Linked DNA regions of Oreochromis niloticus. The protein of the gene in region 1 interacts with the protein of each later gene in a pairwise test. Links are inferred from orthologs where the notes say so. Each region holds a gene or a part of one and is shown in the gene's direction. Other genes may lie near its edges.

What was found. The genes of interacting proteins can lie anywhere in the genome.
Region 2: the proteins of aagab (region 1) and ap2s1 interact in binary tests that used the Homo sapiens proteins (3 or more experiments, as listed by UniProt). The link is inferred for Oreochromis niloticus from reciprocal best matches to the Homo sapiens genes AAGAB and AP2S1.

Annotation. Positions count from the first base shown.
Region 1 is NC_031972.2:51,480,336-51,487,807, forward strand, and holds the start of aagab (alpha- and gamma-adaptin-binding protein p34), read left to right. Parts: upstream 1-4,472; 5' UTR 4,473-4,579; coding exon 4,580-4,673; intron 4,674-4,952; coding exon 4,953-5,143; intron 5,144-5,223; coding exon 5,224-5,320; intron 5,321-5,409; coding exon 5,410-5,499; intron 5,500-5,614; coding exon 5,615-5,698; intron 5,699-5,781; coding exon 5,782-5,861; intron 5,862-6,030; coding exon 6,031-6,127; intron 6,128-6,261; coding exon 6,262-6,366; intron 6,367-7,472. Other genes in the region: iqch (IQ motif-containing protein H), read right to left, coding at 360-462, 2,259-2,360, 3,268-3,343, 3,474-3,565, 3,671-3,766, 3,872-3,922. UniProt on the Homo sapiens protein: May be involved in endocytic recycling of growth factor receptors such as EGFR.
Region 2 is NC_031979.2:22,060,321-22,067,948, forward strand, and holds the start of ap2s1 (AP-2 complex subunit sigma), read left to right. Parts: upstream 1-4,525; 5' UTR 4,526-4,686; coding exon 4,687-4,689; intron 4,690-5,234; coding exon 5,235-5,384; intron 5,385-5,790; coding exon 5,791-5,904; intron 5,905-7,628. UniProt on the Homo sapiens protein: Component of the adaptor protein complex 2 (AP-2). Adaptor protein complexes function in protein transport via transport vesicles in different membrane traffic pathways.

The DNA of each region.
Region 1 (7,472 bases):
AAAATATCAATCTTCTCTGGGATAAAGAGAAGCAGCCTTGTACTCGATCGACACAGAACACAAATTTGGATGTGGCACTGAGAAAATACATCACCGAATTAAAAGAAGATAATGACATTGTGCTTGTCCTCGTTCATCCCCTCCCAGGATTAAAAAAATATATAATAGTATGGAAACTTAATACTACTAACTTAATATAACAATTTATATGATTTGGAGTTTGACACTATAAAGTATTGTGGAATTACTGACTTGATCAAAGTTCCCACAAACATTAAGCAAACACAGAATGTCAACGGATGTTTGTCTGGAGTATAACAGATGAGGTGATGGTGTAGGGGTGGTGAAATGCTGCTAACCTGTCCCAAAGTCTTCTTTGGGGACTACCAGGATGTGATGGCCCTTTGATTCAGCTGCTTGAAGATTCACCACAGAGCCAGAGATTATCCTGTCACCTTTTGCCTGAACAGAAGATTTTCGTAACATCAGTGACTGTACATCAGATGTAAACACAACCAACAAAACGCTGCCTGACATTACCTGCTGCTATCCACACTAAAACTCATTTGTCCCATTAGACATGAAAACATTTTCTAGGGGAATAAGTATAAACAAGCGGTTCAGGATAGCATGCTTTATCAGAAACAACAGGTTTTCTGCATTCATTAAGAATTTAGAAAAGTGCCACTGGCAATAGGACCTTCGCTGTAACTCACTATCAATCATAGCTATTCAAATCTGCTAACCTTAAACATTTTAATTCATAACACTGGATCACAATAACAATAAAACAAGATTTATTGGCCTAATTTCAGTATGAATTTCTTGTGACTACATTTAAACATTTCACAACTCAGAAAACAGAAACAGAAAGTTTGTGCTCCTCCCGATTTGTCACCTAATGTCCTTTCTTTTGTTCTTCTCAGACCACTGAGCTCTTTGACAGACCACAGGTAGCAGCCAGGTGCAGTGAGATTCTCCCCTCAAAGGCACACATCTGTTTCAGATGAGGCTGGGAAAAAGGTGGCACCCTTTGTAAAATTGCTAAAATGCAAACGCTCATTGCCTGGCATGGGTATGGAGAGAAAAAGAGCTGGCCTGAGTTGCAGGAGATGGTAGCAGGCAGAGAGCCAGTGGTTAGCAGTTGGGGAAGCTACGGCTGTCTTATTGGCATGCTGGACCAGGTATCCACTTCTGTCTTGAGACAGCTGTAAACCAGTAGCCCATAGCACAGCAATCAGGCGCCTGTTTCTTTAGAAGAATGCTGATGTGCTGCAATCTGCTGCTTTCCGCTTTCTGCAGCCAGCAATTCCATCTCTCCTATATCAGAGTGACAGTCTTGGCCTATGTTTCTCGTGTCAGGTAGAGATTCCCAAAAACATATCAGAAAAGTGTGTAAAATAGATCTAAAACTAATGCCGACCTTTGCAAAGATTAATTTGTTTGCTGTGACAAGTGCTGGATGTCATCCCTAAGCCAAGTGACCTTTACGTCACAGACTGTCTGAACATGAGACTTGAGGCATCTATTAATACAGAACACTACCATCACTCTTCACTCCAGCACACACTGTCTATTGGAAGGATTAGAGAGTAAGTATCAGGGAAAAGAACAATGATATCTAATTCACCACAGGTGCAGCAGAAACTTTTCTCACTGTACAAAGTAAATACCCGGAGGAAATAATTATTATTTCATGATTAAACTCTGACAAATCTATGATTATAGCCAAGACTTCATGCAGTGATTGGTGTCCTTTCCAGCGGTAAGACTGAAATGCCCCATGAAAACATATAAAATATAATTAGAAAACATGCAGCCTTATTTCTGCAACAAATGAAAAGTCTAAATTCTCTTTTGTGGTACCGTTTTACAAAGCCACTGCAAATTATCTGTCACCTACTTTGTGTAGAGTATTCAATCCGACAAACTGTAGCACATAATTTTTGGAGAAAAAAACAACTGTCGACATCATAAAGAGAGTCAAAGGCTCCAGAGAAAAGCTGACTAAAGTGGCAAGTTCACAGGGTTTATTTTAGACCCACCTGTGGTAAATAATACATCACAATAAGAATAACTGCATTAAGAGTTGTTTATGTTATAACATAATGTATATGATCAGTAAATGTAATACCACGTTTATACTTCATTTGAAAGAAACTATGACTTTCTGTAAGGTGTAGTTTCTACAGAAATCATGCGTGATAGCAAAGTACAGCAAACATTAGGTTATTCTACATTTATGGAATATTACTTACCTCATTTGCTCTCTTCCTGTGAGTATCAGTAAGTGATTTCACAGATTTCTGATGCCTAATGGATCTTTTGTTTGGCAAACACATGTTCAATGCTAACTTGTCCTGAAACAGAGAAAGGAAAAAATTCAGAAATTGTAATAGAAGATGCACTCTCATTAGTCTATTCATTGGGTATACCTCATCAGTACCAGGTTGAACCCCCTTTTGAATCATAGCTGCCTTAATTCTTAATGGCACAAGTTTCATCGAGGGGCTGTAAACATTCCTGAGAGACTTTGGTACATATTGACATGACAGTATCATGCTACTGATACAGATCTGTTGCATCCCAGAGGTGCTCTGTTTAAGATCGTGTGACTGTTGAGGCCATTCGAGTACGGTGAACTCATTGTCATGTTCAAGAAACCACTTTGAAATAAACGATCTTTGTGACATGGTGCATAATCCTGCTGGAAGCAGCCATCTGAAGATGGTTACACTGTAGCCATAAAGGGATGGATCAACTCAAAGGAGTCTGGCTATTCTCTGATCCAGAGAACTGTCGCTCACTGTATATTTTCTCTCCTTCAGACAATCCTCTGTATACCTTATAGAGATGGTTGTGCAGGAAAATCCCAGTAAACTAGCAATTTGTGAAATACTCAGAACAGACCGCCTGGCACCAACAATGCTACGTCCAGAGTTACTAAAATCATCTTGCCCATTCTGACGCCCAGTTTGAACTTCAGCAGGTGATTTTTGTACATTCCTGAATGCACCAAGTTACTGCCATGTGATTGGCCTATTGATATTTGCATTACATGCTGTTAATGCAAACAGGTGTACCTAATAATTTTTCCAATGAGCGTGTAAATAGTTAGGATTTTTGCTAAACAAAAAAGGTATCAATTCTTGCCCACTTTTACCTTGCCTATCGTACTGCACGTGTTTTAGCTTGTACACACCCTCTTTAATTGAAAAAAGGTCATTTATTACCCTTTAAAGTTTCTGAATACGCATAATAATCTACCTGTTCCCCTGCTGGAGCTCCTGGAAGGGTTTCTCTCTGTTTCTTCACATCTGAGATTTTCTCCAGACAAGGAGTCCTGTGTAAAGACTTTCTTTCAGACTCACAATCCCAATTAACTAGAATTCATAACAATTCTAAACATATTTAATCAAATTTGCAAAAAGGTAATGGTTGAGCAAAATATTCCCACTAAAAATACTACTTACCATTTAGAAAGAGTCTTTTGTTGTAAATCGCCAATGGGTGGAAGAATCAGCTGCTGCTTATTCACTGTTTTCAAACAATCCTCTGCATGTTTCTACAGACAGTCAAGAACTTATTAACTGTCGGTTTTTACGTGTACTATGTTTGACTTAAGTCTCTTTATTTAATATAAATGCTACTGTGCGTGAAGATTTCTCACCCTGATGTTCAGGGCCTGAATGTTCAGTGTTGTCCTCCCCTCACTGACAATCACTTTCTCAAGACTAGGTTTGAGTTGTCTTAAATCGTCTTCAACCTGCAATACAGTCATAAAATGTAAATACTCCAGAAAATGACCTAAAAACAGCACACACGAGTTTGATGATTTAGCTAAAGGCAAGATAAGTCAAGGAAACTTTACCCGAACCGAAACAGCTCCCGACTTGTCTTCCTTCTTAACCACGTCGGACATTTTTTTTCATCATTATTTATGGGTTTGTAACTGAAATATATACAGCATAATGGCGAACTGTACTAGTTACCCACTGTTAGCGAAACAATTGGCTTGTCACCAGTGAAAGTTTCTGATTCGGTACACGTAACCTTGACGACGAGACACCATGCAGCTCATTTCTTTCCGGAGTTTGACAGTCAGGCATATAAGGGTCACGTCTAAGTACATAATTGTTTATCCCAATACTACCATCCCATTGCCACATAACCATGGCCTTTACTTTAATCACCTTCTAAAACATATCAGCTGATGTTAGATTTGTTTGGAGGAGTGGTTGCTTTGTCTGAAAGGGACAAAACAGGGTTAAAATTCTGTGTCCCTCACTTCACATAAAAGTTTCATAAACGCAGACTGCAATTTTTTGTTTTTGCTTTTTAAATAATAATAATAATAATAATAATAATAATAATTATTATTATTATTATTATCATCATCATTATTATTACTTAGTTTCAATTACAATAGATGGATAGAAAAACATTTTTACAATTAAACGTCACCAGACTGTTTAACGTGCACCGGAAGAGGCTGGTCAGAGTTGAAAGGTCTCCCAAGTTTTCCATCGTAACGCTAAGCTAATAGCTGAAGAAGCTTTCTCTTTCATTTATAATTAAAATGTCAGCTTCAGAAGAAAATACAGAAATGGCCACCCCGTGTGTGCTTGTCACTAGCTGTGACAGCGAGTTTAAAGAAGAAGAACTAATCAAACGTAAGTTAAGGTGAAAATAACATAATAGTAAGGAAGCTAACGTTAAACAGAGCTAACTAAGCGATAGCATCTGGAAGCCCTTTTATGTATTTTTGTCGGGTTAATAGCGTTTTATGCGTTTAAGCCATTTTATGTTCTTTACTTTCGCCAAGCTGATATACAACCGATATGGTAATGCTAATTAAGGGTAATGCAATTCCTGTAGCTTGAGCTTTCACCGTGAGAAGCTTAGCTTGACGTCTTTGTTCATGTAGATCAACAGATTTGTTTTTGTCTCAGAAATCCTCAGTACGAAGACTTTACCCGAGCCGACAAAGCGAGAGGAAACAGTGGTCTGGTACCCTTGGACCATCAACAACAAGTATTATACGGCAGATGTAAATCTGTGTGTTGTCTCAAGCACGTTTCACATGTCGTCAGAGATTGCCCAGTCCATGCAAGCTTTCATCGCTTATTTTGACAGCAAAGCGGTATGTGACATAAGAAGTTATATTTATAAGTCTAAACAGCACGTTTCTTCATGCCTTTATATCATCCATTATGTTTGCAGAAAGATGGGCTGCAAAAGCTACAACCTTGGATACCGGTAGTGGAAGATCTTGCGCCAGAGGTGCTCATCCTGGTCTGTGACAGAGTCTGTGAAAATGGTCAGTTTTTTCTGCTCTGCATGTGGCTTGCAGAAAACACTGTCTTACATACAAGTTGTGGGGGATACAACTTCTAATTTATGTTGTAGGAGTCACCAGACATGAAGCGCAGCAGTGGTGTTTGGCTCATGCGTTTGAGCTTGTAGAACTCAATCCTCAGGAGCTCCCAGATGAGGATGGTGAGTTTCTCAAATGGAAGAAATGAGCAGTGACACCACCCAGATTTATATCTCAATTCTTTGTGTTTTGATAATTTTTTCACCCGCATTCACACTATTCTGTTTCCCCTATCAGACGACTTTCCAGAATCCACAGGAGTAAAGAGAATTGTTCAGGCTCTCAATGCAAATGTGTGGTCCAGTGTGGAAATGAAGGATGGTAAGATGACATAACCTTTTATTTAACTACTACATACTCTGTGTATGCATGTATGGCATGTGACAGTTTACATCTCGTAACAGGGCACAATCAGGGCTTTGGTCTGATGAGCAGTTTGGTGGCTTCCAGACATAACAACCCACGCACCTGCCAAGATCCACCAGTCAGTGCATTTTCCTTTTTTGATATTGATCGATTTATTTAGGTTTTAATAGTGTTTTTAATGCGTTTTCTTGCTGGCTTGCTTGAATCAATACAATTTCAATTTATGTTGTTTTTAAAGTTGTTTTTGTGGAGGCATGCTGATCCAAGCTGTTTTGTTTCTTTGGTAGTCTTCCAGCTTACCAGTAGAGGGCACCGTTAACAATGAGGAGCCTAACCATACAGAAAGTACTACAAACACAGACACACAGGAAGAGGCAGTAGTTGGTAAGCGAATGCCTTGTGATAGAATATTTTTTACTAAGTTGTGAATCAATTTTTCTCAGATTTCTCAAAATACTACTGCTGCCACTGTTAGTTATGTGTATAAACATACAGCACATTTTTTTGATCTCCCTCAGATGCAATGACTGATTTGGACATTCAGGAGCTCGCTAACCTCACAACTGGAGATGTAGATGTTGATAACTTTGAACGCCTTTTTACCAAATTAAAGGAGATGAAAGGTAAATGGGGGAATTTTAAAAAAAGATATGCAAATCTTGTTTTTTCTTTCTTTCTTTTTTTTATTTAAAGGTATGTTGTCCCTGTGGAGGTTAAATATTTTCTATAGAGTAGAGACATTTGTCTCACTTTGAATAGCTAAGTGAGCATCTTTAATGTATTTAGCTTTTTTTTTCCATTATATTTTCAAAAGAGTTTGATGCATTTCAGATGATTACCCTAACTAATAAAAAGAAAGTGATTATGATAAAAAGTTTAAGCCCCCATGGTCAGTACTTTGTAAGCAACACATCTTACCATTCTTGTTTGCTGGATTTTCACCCTTTCTTTGCAAACTTCTTTCAGTTTTGTCAGATCTTTCTTCCGTCCTGCACAGCTTCTTTTAACTCCATCAACTGTTGAAGATGTTTAGCTCAGAAAATTTCAAGAACCACTGACAAATCTTCAGTGTTTGTCTGTCAGTAGCCATTGTTGGGTTGAGGTGTTTTTCGGATTGTTAAAATGTTGTTAAACACATCATCTTTTTTTATCTTGGACTTTTTTTTGCAGACACTGCAGTGCAGAATTTGTGGTGTATAATTAAATCTATTCTTCCCTCTATCTTGTGCCAATGGCTGTAACACAAGCCATCCACCCATATGCTTAACAGTTAAAGAGATCATTAGGTTTATTTAGATGATCATTTGAAAACTTCTGATGCTTTTAATTATCTCTTCCACGAAGGTCATGGTTGTACAAGTAGATTAAAGCACAGTCTGCTCAATTTTCCTGAAGTTCCTTTGTTTTCATCATAGGGTTTTGATTCTAGCAATCTAATGAGTAGATCTCCTTAAAAACTTTTTTGTTTTTTGTTTTCCAGACATCACTTTGATATCCCTCCTTTCTTGTTAATTACAGTAAATCAGTTCCATTAATTCCACTTCCAGCTGAGTAAAGGCCTTCTTAAAGCCATATCCTGAATTGTGGGCCCACAATTTTTTAATCTTCAAAAGAAAAGGCTCTTACTTAGTAGAGGACCCAATGACTGATTATTGCAGGAATAATATTTTAGGAGTCAGAATATGTATCAAGTCTTGAAATGTGCATTTCCCGAGTTTCCAGAACAATA
Region 2 (7,628 bases), on another chromosome or scaffold:
TTGTTTTGACCAATTATTATTTCCTTTGTTGTGTCAAAAATTTACAAAAAAAAAGAGTCCGCAGGAAACGCGACCACAAGGATCAGCCTTGATTTACAAAAAAGCGCCGCTGTTGGAAGAGTACAACAGTTCGTACGAAAGCCTTGTGTGTGTGTGTGTGTTTTTTTCCCTTTCTGATGTTAAGCCCCTTGCAGGATAAATGTGTGACGTTGTGTTTAAGTCTATTTTTTCCCCCAGCTTCCCAGTAATGGCGGCATGCTCTTCACAGAGAGACACTCTCGCCCAGCGGTAAATATACACAATTACAACAAACGCAGACTGTTTATGATACGCTGCTCACCGCCACACTATTAAGGCGTAGCTAATGGTGACTAGTAAGCCGAGAACAACAGTGAATTTATTTCAAATGAGCCATCATAATACTCTTCCATACGTATGTATATTTAAACTAAAAGAAAATAGTTGGCATATAACATGCTGAATACATTAGAAATTAAAAAGAAATATTTGAAAATATTCGAAACAACAAAAAACACACACATGCAAACAAAGGGTGACTATGCTTTAGCTAGCAACCAGCTACTTCTAGTTACTTTAACTATTTCTATTACTTTCCAGTTTCGTTTCTTTATAGCTCTTTCTTTTATTTTAAATTGAAGAACAGCAAACTAGCTCCGTTGTACAACATGGACTTATTTGTGAGTTGTATCAAAGTGGGGCTAATGTCTTTAATGCCTCATCTTGGGTTACTGTTAAACATGAAACTGTTATTTATTATTTCTAAGCATAAAAAAAGAAATGTGTTTATGTTATCATGACTGTGATTAATTTATTTTATTTTGGCCCATTTGCGTTCATGGCCCCCACGGCTCCCATACCACTTCCTTGCAAAACTGACCACCATTTCCCCGGACAGATTCAAGCATTAGTTATACAACACTATGCAAAGGTCTTGAATAACCCATTCGTTTCTTTATATTTTCCCAGGAAAATGGAAATAGGTGCAGCGATTTATTGAAACATCTGTAAGGATATGTGAAAATACAGTATATAAGGCAAAAACAAAGTTTGAACTATTCTAATGAGCTACGTCAGTAAAGTTCCCATATGTGTTTTTTTAATTTAGGTATCCTTTGACTGCACTGGAAGTGTGTTTGAGGTCATAGTCATGCTTTAAAATGAAGCTGATGCTAATGGGATGGTATTTTGATGATGGATCAAAATTTGACTCTATATTTCTGTATTCAGGATTTCATCAGTTCCCATCAGATCCCTCACACCACTGCCGCTGAACTGCAGACCCAAACCATGGCAAACACTCTACCATGTTTTGCTGATGACTCTAGACACTCCCTGTTTTACCCCTGCCCTGATCTCCTCTACACATACTGATGATGATTTCAACTGAGAAAAACTTCAAATGTGGATCCGTCACTCCTGTTGCCACTGATCTTTTCTTCTTGTTCCCTTTCCTTAGGAATGGCTTCTTGACAGCCACCTTATCAAGAGAGGAACTAATTACAAAATGATTTGATTGTGACAGACTGCTAGTAACAAAAGTGTCTAAAGAAACAAATTTAATTAGTCTCTTTGTTAATTTTTCTGATATCTGCTATGTGTAGAAAACCAGGTGTGGTTCATCTTTTGAGTTAGGTTCCTTTTTTATGGTTGAATGATTCATAGGTCAATACTAAGTGGTTCACTTAGCATTGATGATTGGCTGAGGACTTTTGCACAGAACTGTTGCTTAATAGATTTAAATAGTTAATGGCTGAATCATTTGTGATAGATTTGTTGTGCATTCACCCAAGGACTTCCACCTAAACTGTTATTGAACAGCAGAGAGAGGAAATGTTTAATGCCTTTCCTGAGAAAAATTAATCATCTTAAAGGTTAGTCCTAATTATAAGTGTTGTTCACTGAGTTATGTGCTCGTCAAGAGTTATTGCGAAGTGTTTTCTACTTTGATTAAAGCCATTTAAAAAATTACGCTTTTAAGGCAGAGAGTTGAGATACATTGGAGAAATATCTGCAGTGTTGTACAAGACAACAGCCTGTACTAATAGCTCAAACAGATGTTTAGTGTCTAGCAGTGAGACCCTCTCTTGAAATTCTTTCTCTCTCTCTCTCTCATTCACTCGCTTCCTCTCTCTCCCTGTTAGTCCTTCCTTGAACTCTCAAGAACATGCAATTCCGATCTGGTAATCTAAACTCTGTGTGATATGAAAACAAATAGTTTGTGTGGCCGTAGAACTCAATTTATTGTTTTGAACTGGAATTTGGCACTTTAGGGGATATTTAAGACTAAACCATTGTAAACAATAGAGCCATCGTGTTTAAAGGTTTATTACTGTATTCAACCTCCTGGAGTGTTGGATAGCAGAATCAAAACATAGCAGAAAATCATTTGTAATAAAAAAAAAATAGGAAAGAAATTATGTTGTTCTTACATAAGTTATTAAATTGAAGTACATAATGTGCACTATGTGTGTTCTGACAAGCTTGAATTGTGACCCACCATTAAATACACAGTCAAACAGGGTTCAAGGTGCACTGTCCTCTGTTTGAGTAAGTCCACACGCTTCTGTCCCATTGCATTACTCACTAGGTTCTCAGCAATATTTGCATGACCCCAATCACACAAACCAAGATTAGCTGGGGTCAAAGTGTGTGTTGAATAATGTGCCTCTGTTTTACATCCCTTTCGCCTACCTCCACTTGTTTTTAAAACAGGCCAAGGTCTTGCGACTATCACAAAACATTGCTATGCAGTGCTGTTTATGCGTATAATTCTTATATAACCACCATGGCAAATTTTATTTTTATTTTACTCTAAAATACGCGGCAGTATCAAAACACAGCTGCAAGCATTATACGGAAGAAAAACACTGCACTTTTTGTTTAATCACTGGTTTGTTTCCTCTTTCATTTTATTATTATTTTTTCCATCCCACTTTCAGTCCTCGTTGTATCTGCAGCTAAAATATGTCTCAGTCCCAAGGGCAGCGCATTCCTCCACTCACAGTTGTGCAATCCCTGACAATCACAGTCCCCCATCCCCCCCACCTCTGACTCCCTAAACACCCAGAACAGAGGCAAGCTGTCCAAGCTGTCTGGGCAATGTTCTGCGGTGAACTGGCTGCCCAAGCACACCAGTAAACAAACTCTGACTCTGCAGAAAACAACCTCCAAAAATAATGTAACCTCAAGGGGCTGCAAATAAGTTATATAGGCTATTGCTGCTTTTCAGCCTGTAATGAGTTTCGGTATAAATCTTTTGTATTCTACAAATCTTCCTTTTTGTTCATACGTCTTTATGCTAATTATACGCAATAATCTAATATAATTAAGTGGATATAAATAAAACTATCAGTTTGATTAACTGTGTATGTGACAAATACACTATCATGTTTGGGGACTTTTTTACATTTAGTAAGTCTGTATGTGAGCAATTTTCACCATGTGTATAAACAAATAGAGCAGACAAAAGTCTCTTTGGACTATGATGATGTGATCTGTAGTGAGATCAGGCAGCACGTGGAAGAGAGCCTGGAGAAGTGGAGGTATCCTCTGTAGAGAAGAGGAATGAAAGTCAATAGAAGCCAGACAGAATAGACGTGTGAATGAGACGGAGACCGATTTAACAGTGAAGGTGACAGACATTGCACAATAGAGAAGAAGAAGAGAGTGCAGGCAGGGTGGAGTGGGTGAAGACGAGTGCCAGGGGTGATTTCTCACAGATGGATAGCGGCAAGAGTGAAAGGGAAGATATAGATGTATGGTTTAGAGATGGTGGCCCTTACAAAAAGACAGGAGTTAGAGTTGAACATCCTCAGATTTTCACTGGGAGTGGGACCAGGAGGAACAGGATAGGAAATCAGTATATCAGAGGGACAGCTCAGGTGAAGTGCTTTGGAGACAAAGTTAGAGAGCCAAGGCTGTGATGTTTTGGACATGTGAGGCGGAGGGATAGCTGATATATTCAAGAAAGGTTGTTAAATATGAAGCTGCCAGGTAGGCAGACAACAGGAAGATCATCGAGAAGGTTAATGGATGTAGTAAAGGAGGACATACAGAGGACTGGTGTGACAGAGGAGTATGCTAGGCAAGGGAGATAGGAGATGAAGGGAAATTGATTCACTATGGCGACCCTTAAAGGGAGCAGCCAAAAGAAGAAGAAGTGTTAACCAGTCTAAGAACTGACAGGAAATTGCCCAAGAGAAGAGTGACATATTTTTTTAATCAAGTTTATAGTATTAGGATACTATAAAAATAGATAACAAGTGGAATGCAATACTTATGAAATTATTCCACAGGAAGTGCTTCCGGTAGTTCTTTCAGAAAAGAATAAAACCTGAAACAAACACGAAAAACGACAAAAATATTTAGAGAGATGGGCTCTTTGCTTCTCATGTGATCCACTGCACGACTCAATACGAGACGCCACACAGTGATGTTGGTTGTTGTAGTTCTATATTAAAACCCATTGCTTCTAAATGTAACAACAAAAACTACAATCCCATCATGCAACGTGACGCAGCCATAGTTTTGCCACTTCCTATTAGCTTGGAGAAGATAGCGGACGAGCGGTCATAAAATATCGATGTATTAATGTGAAAATTATTGCACACTTGCTTGGGAACCTGCTGCTTTGGAGTCTCTAAGGTCCATATTTGGGAGGCGAAAATGGTAAATATGTCTCAAACGAACTATGTTGTATTTTCTTCTCATGTCAGGAACATTTGTCGTTTGGTTGCTAGCATCTGAGAGTTCGCCAGATCGGCTATTCCATTCAGTGAGTAGAAAACGATAAGCTAACTGGGACGCCAACAATTTAAAATCAAGATGTTTTACCAAACAGATCAACTATCAGTTTACTGAAATAGATCGTTTTTACCTTGCCGAGTTCTCCGAAAAATGATGCTGTCAAAATGAATGGGTGTGGTTTAGCTAACACTATGTTTAACTGTCGATAAGCTGTAGATAAGCTAAGGGTAGCTACAGTTACTTGTAATTTCTCTTACATATTAAAATAGTTGGATGCCTAAATGGTAAGTATCTCCAAAGTTATCATGTGTACGACAGCTACTAATAGGCAAAGTAAGATTATATTGTGTGTTGCTAGTGAGTCATTTTTGGGAGTTTCATAATTCTGTCAGTATCAAACTGCTTACTTGTTCAGGACAAGTAAAGAATGCCTCATTTATTTATTTTTTTTGTCTTGTTTCTTACAGATCCGCTTTATCCTCATCCAGAACCGAGCGGGAAAGACACGACTGGCCAAATGGTACATGCAGTTTGATGATGATGAGAAACAGAAGTTGATTGAAGAAGTGCATGCTGTCGTTACTGTCAGAGATGCCAAGCACACCAACTTTGTGGAGGTATGGGATTTGGCAGTGCCACATGTACCCACATTTTCTTTTTTAAAATGATTCTTTGACATGCTAGAACAGCAACAACCTCTTTTCTCTAATCCTGTATAATGACACAGCTGGCTCAGCTCCTTCGGTGTATAGATATTGCAGGCATTATCTCTTAGCATGTTTTTTTTTTTTTAATGTTATATGCATAACTGAATGAAATTCTAGTGGAATACAACATCAAAAGAAAAGAGAACCCGTTTTGTGGATCAGGTTTTTAATGCTATTAAAAAAAAAATCAGTATGAATGTATGCATGCTGGGTGTGTTTTACCTTACCGTGGGAGCTTCAGCCCTGGTAAATCTGCTGCTGTTGTCACAATATGCGAGATTAAGCTCTTAAGAGGATTTTTCTGTTGTTCTCACAGTTCAGGAACTTCAAGATCATTTACAGACGTTATGCTGGTCTGTACTTCTGTATTTGTGTGGACGTGACTGATAATAACTTGGCATACCTCGAGGGAATCCACAACTTCGTAGAGGTAAATGAAACACACAGTATATAGACCTAGTAAGTGAGCTATGATAATTTAGTTGTCATGGTCTGATGGTTTTCAAGAATATCTCTCAATGATTTTGTTCAGAGGCTATCATTCTTCACTGGCGTGGAGCTCCTTTAGAACTTCTCTGGGTTGTAAGGATTGCAGTAAAATTATATGTAGTAAAAAATCTTGAAGTTGAAGTGAAAAAGTAAAAAAAAATAATAAAATAAAAGCTGGATTACAAAGAAGCAGAGGAAAAGAAAAGAAAGAAAATAAATTACTTAAGCATTATTCTGTACAGCTAAACACAATCCACATATTAGTTACCAACCTATATTGAAATATATGTGCATTTATAGCTAAATGCACATGTATTTCAATATTATTTTTTCATCTTTACATAACAGAGAGAACAGGAAGAAAAACAAACTCCCCTATTGCCTCTTTCATCAGTCTCCACTGGTATTCACAGTTTTCACCCTGGCTCAAAGCATCCCATATTCAGCTAGTCAATTCTGCCATTTATTCTTAAAAATATCTTTATTTTGATATATTTCCCCTGCCCACATAATGATACTGTTATTCAAGTATTTACCTTCCACTTAATAGAGGACAATTGTAAAAACTGAATCGGTAGCAGAGATCCATTATGCTGTGATCTGACTTCCTGCTGATAAAATCTGTATAAGACTATAGAACTACAACATTATACTATAGAATGCCCTATTTTTGAAGCATATTCCCAGTAGGCACGTATCTATAAAATAATTTAACCTGTGAAATTCAAACTGAAAGATCAAATGTAGTTATGCAGATATAAACCCTTTCTTCCATGGCATACATATGTCCAATTTTAAAAGATGATATGTTTTCTTTTTTATCTGTTCCTTTCTGAAGAGCACATCATTTAGTTTACATTATTATAATATTGTTTTCCAATTGTGAACGCCATTTTGGATTTCAAATAACTCAGGTATAAACGATGCTTTAAATTCAGAATAAAGTGCTACCTGAATTTCTGCATTTTTAAAAGTCTAACTTATTCATAGTTTTTAGTGAAGTCAGATTATTTTCTATAAATCTGATTTAGCTGAAGCTCATACCACAGCTTGTATCTATAGTTTAATCTTTTAGCATGACTGTATTTCAGTACAAATTCCAGAACCCATTAAAGCTATGTTTACGTCACATTCATTTTACAGTCTTGGGTGTATCATTTTTGACTAGTGTTAGTGTTATGCCATGCTGGAAAAAAATGTTATCGTTAAAATATTGATAGATTTGATAACGCCTTGCCACATAGATACACTGCAGTGCCAAAAGGCAGCATTACACTATTTTATGACTTGGCTCAAAAGTCACAGCATGAAGACTGATACCACAGTTTCTAAAAACACTGGTTTTATTTTAAAGTACTTAAAATTTCAGCGAAAAATGAAAGGCCAGAGAGCATAAAGACAAGAAGTGCCATCCTCCTAAGCCAACCTCAGGCATGGCTTTATCCAATCTCGTCAGGTGTAGACAGTTGGCCACTGTCACTGCAAGAGAAGTAGAGGTTGCAGATGGGTGTACCACCTCCCCTACTCAAAAAGGTTCCTCCAAGATCCCCAAATAAAGAAATACCCCTCTGGAGTCTTCTGGTTCTTGATATCCTAGATCTGAAATACAAATAGGGAAAGCAGGACAACACGTGTGCCTTGCAACGGTGGCAAATTTATTCCAAT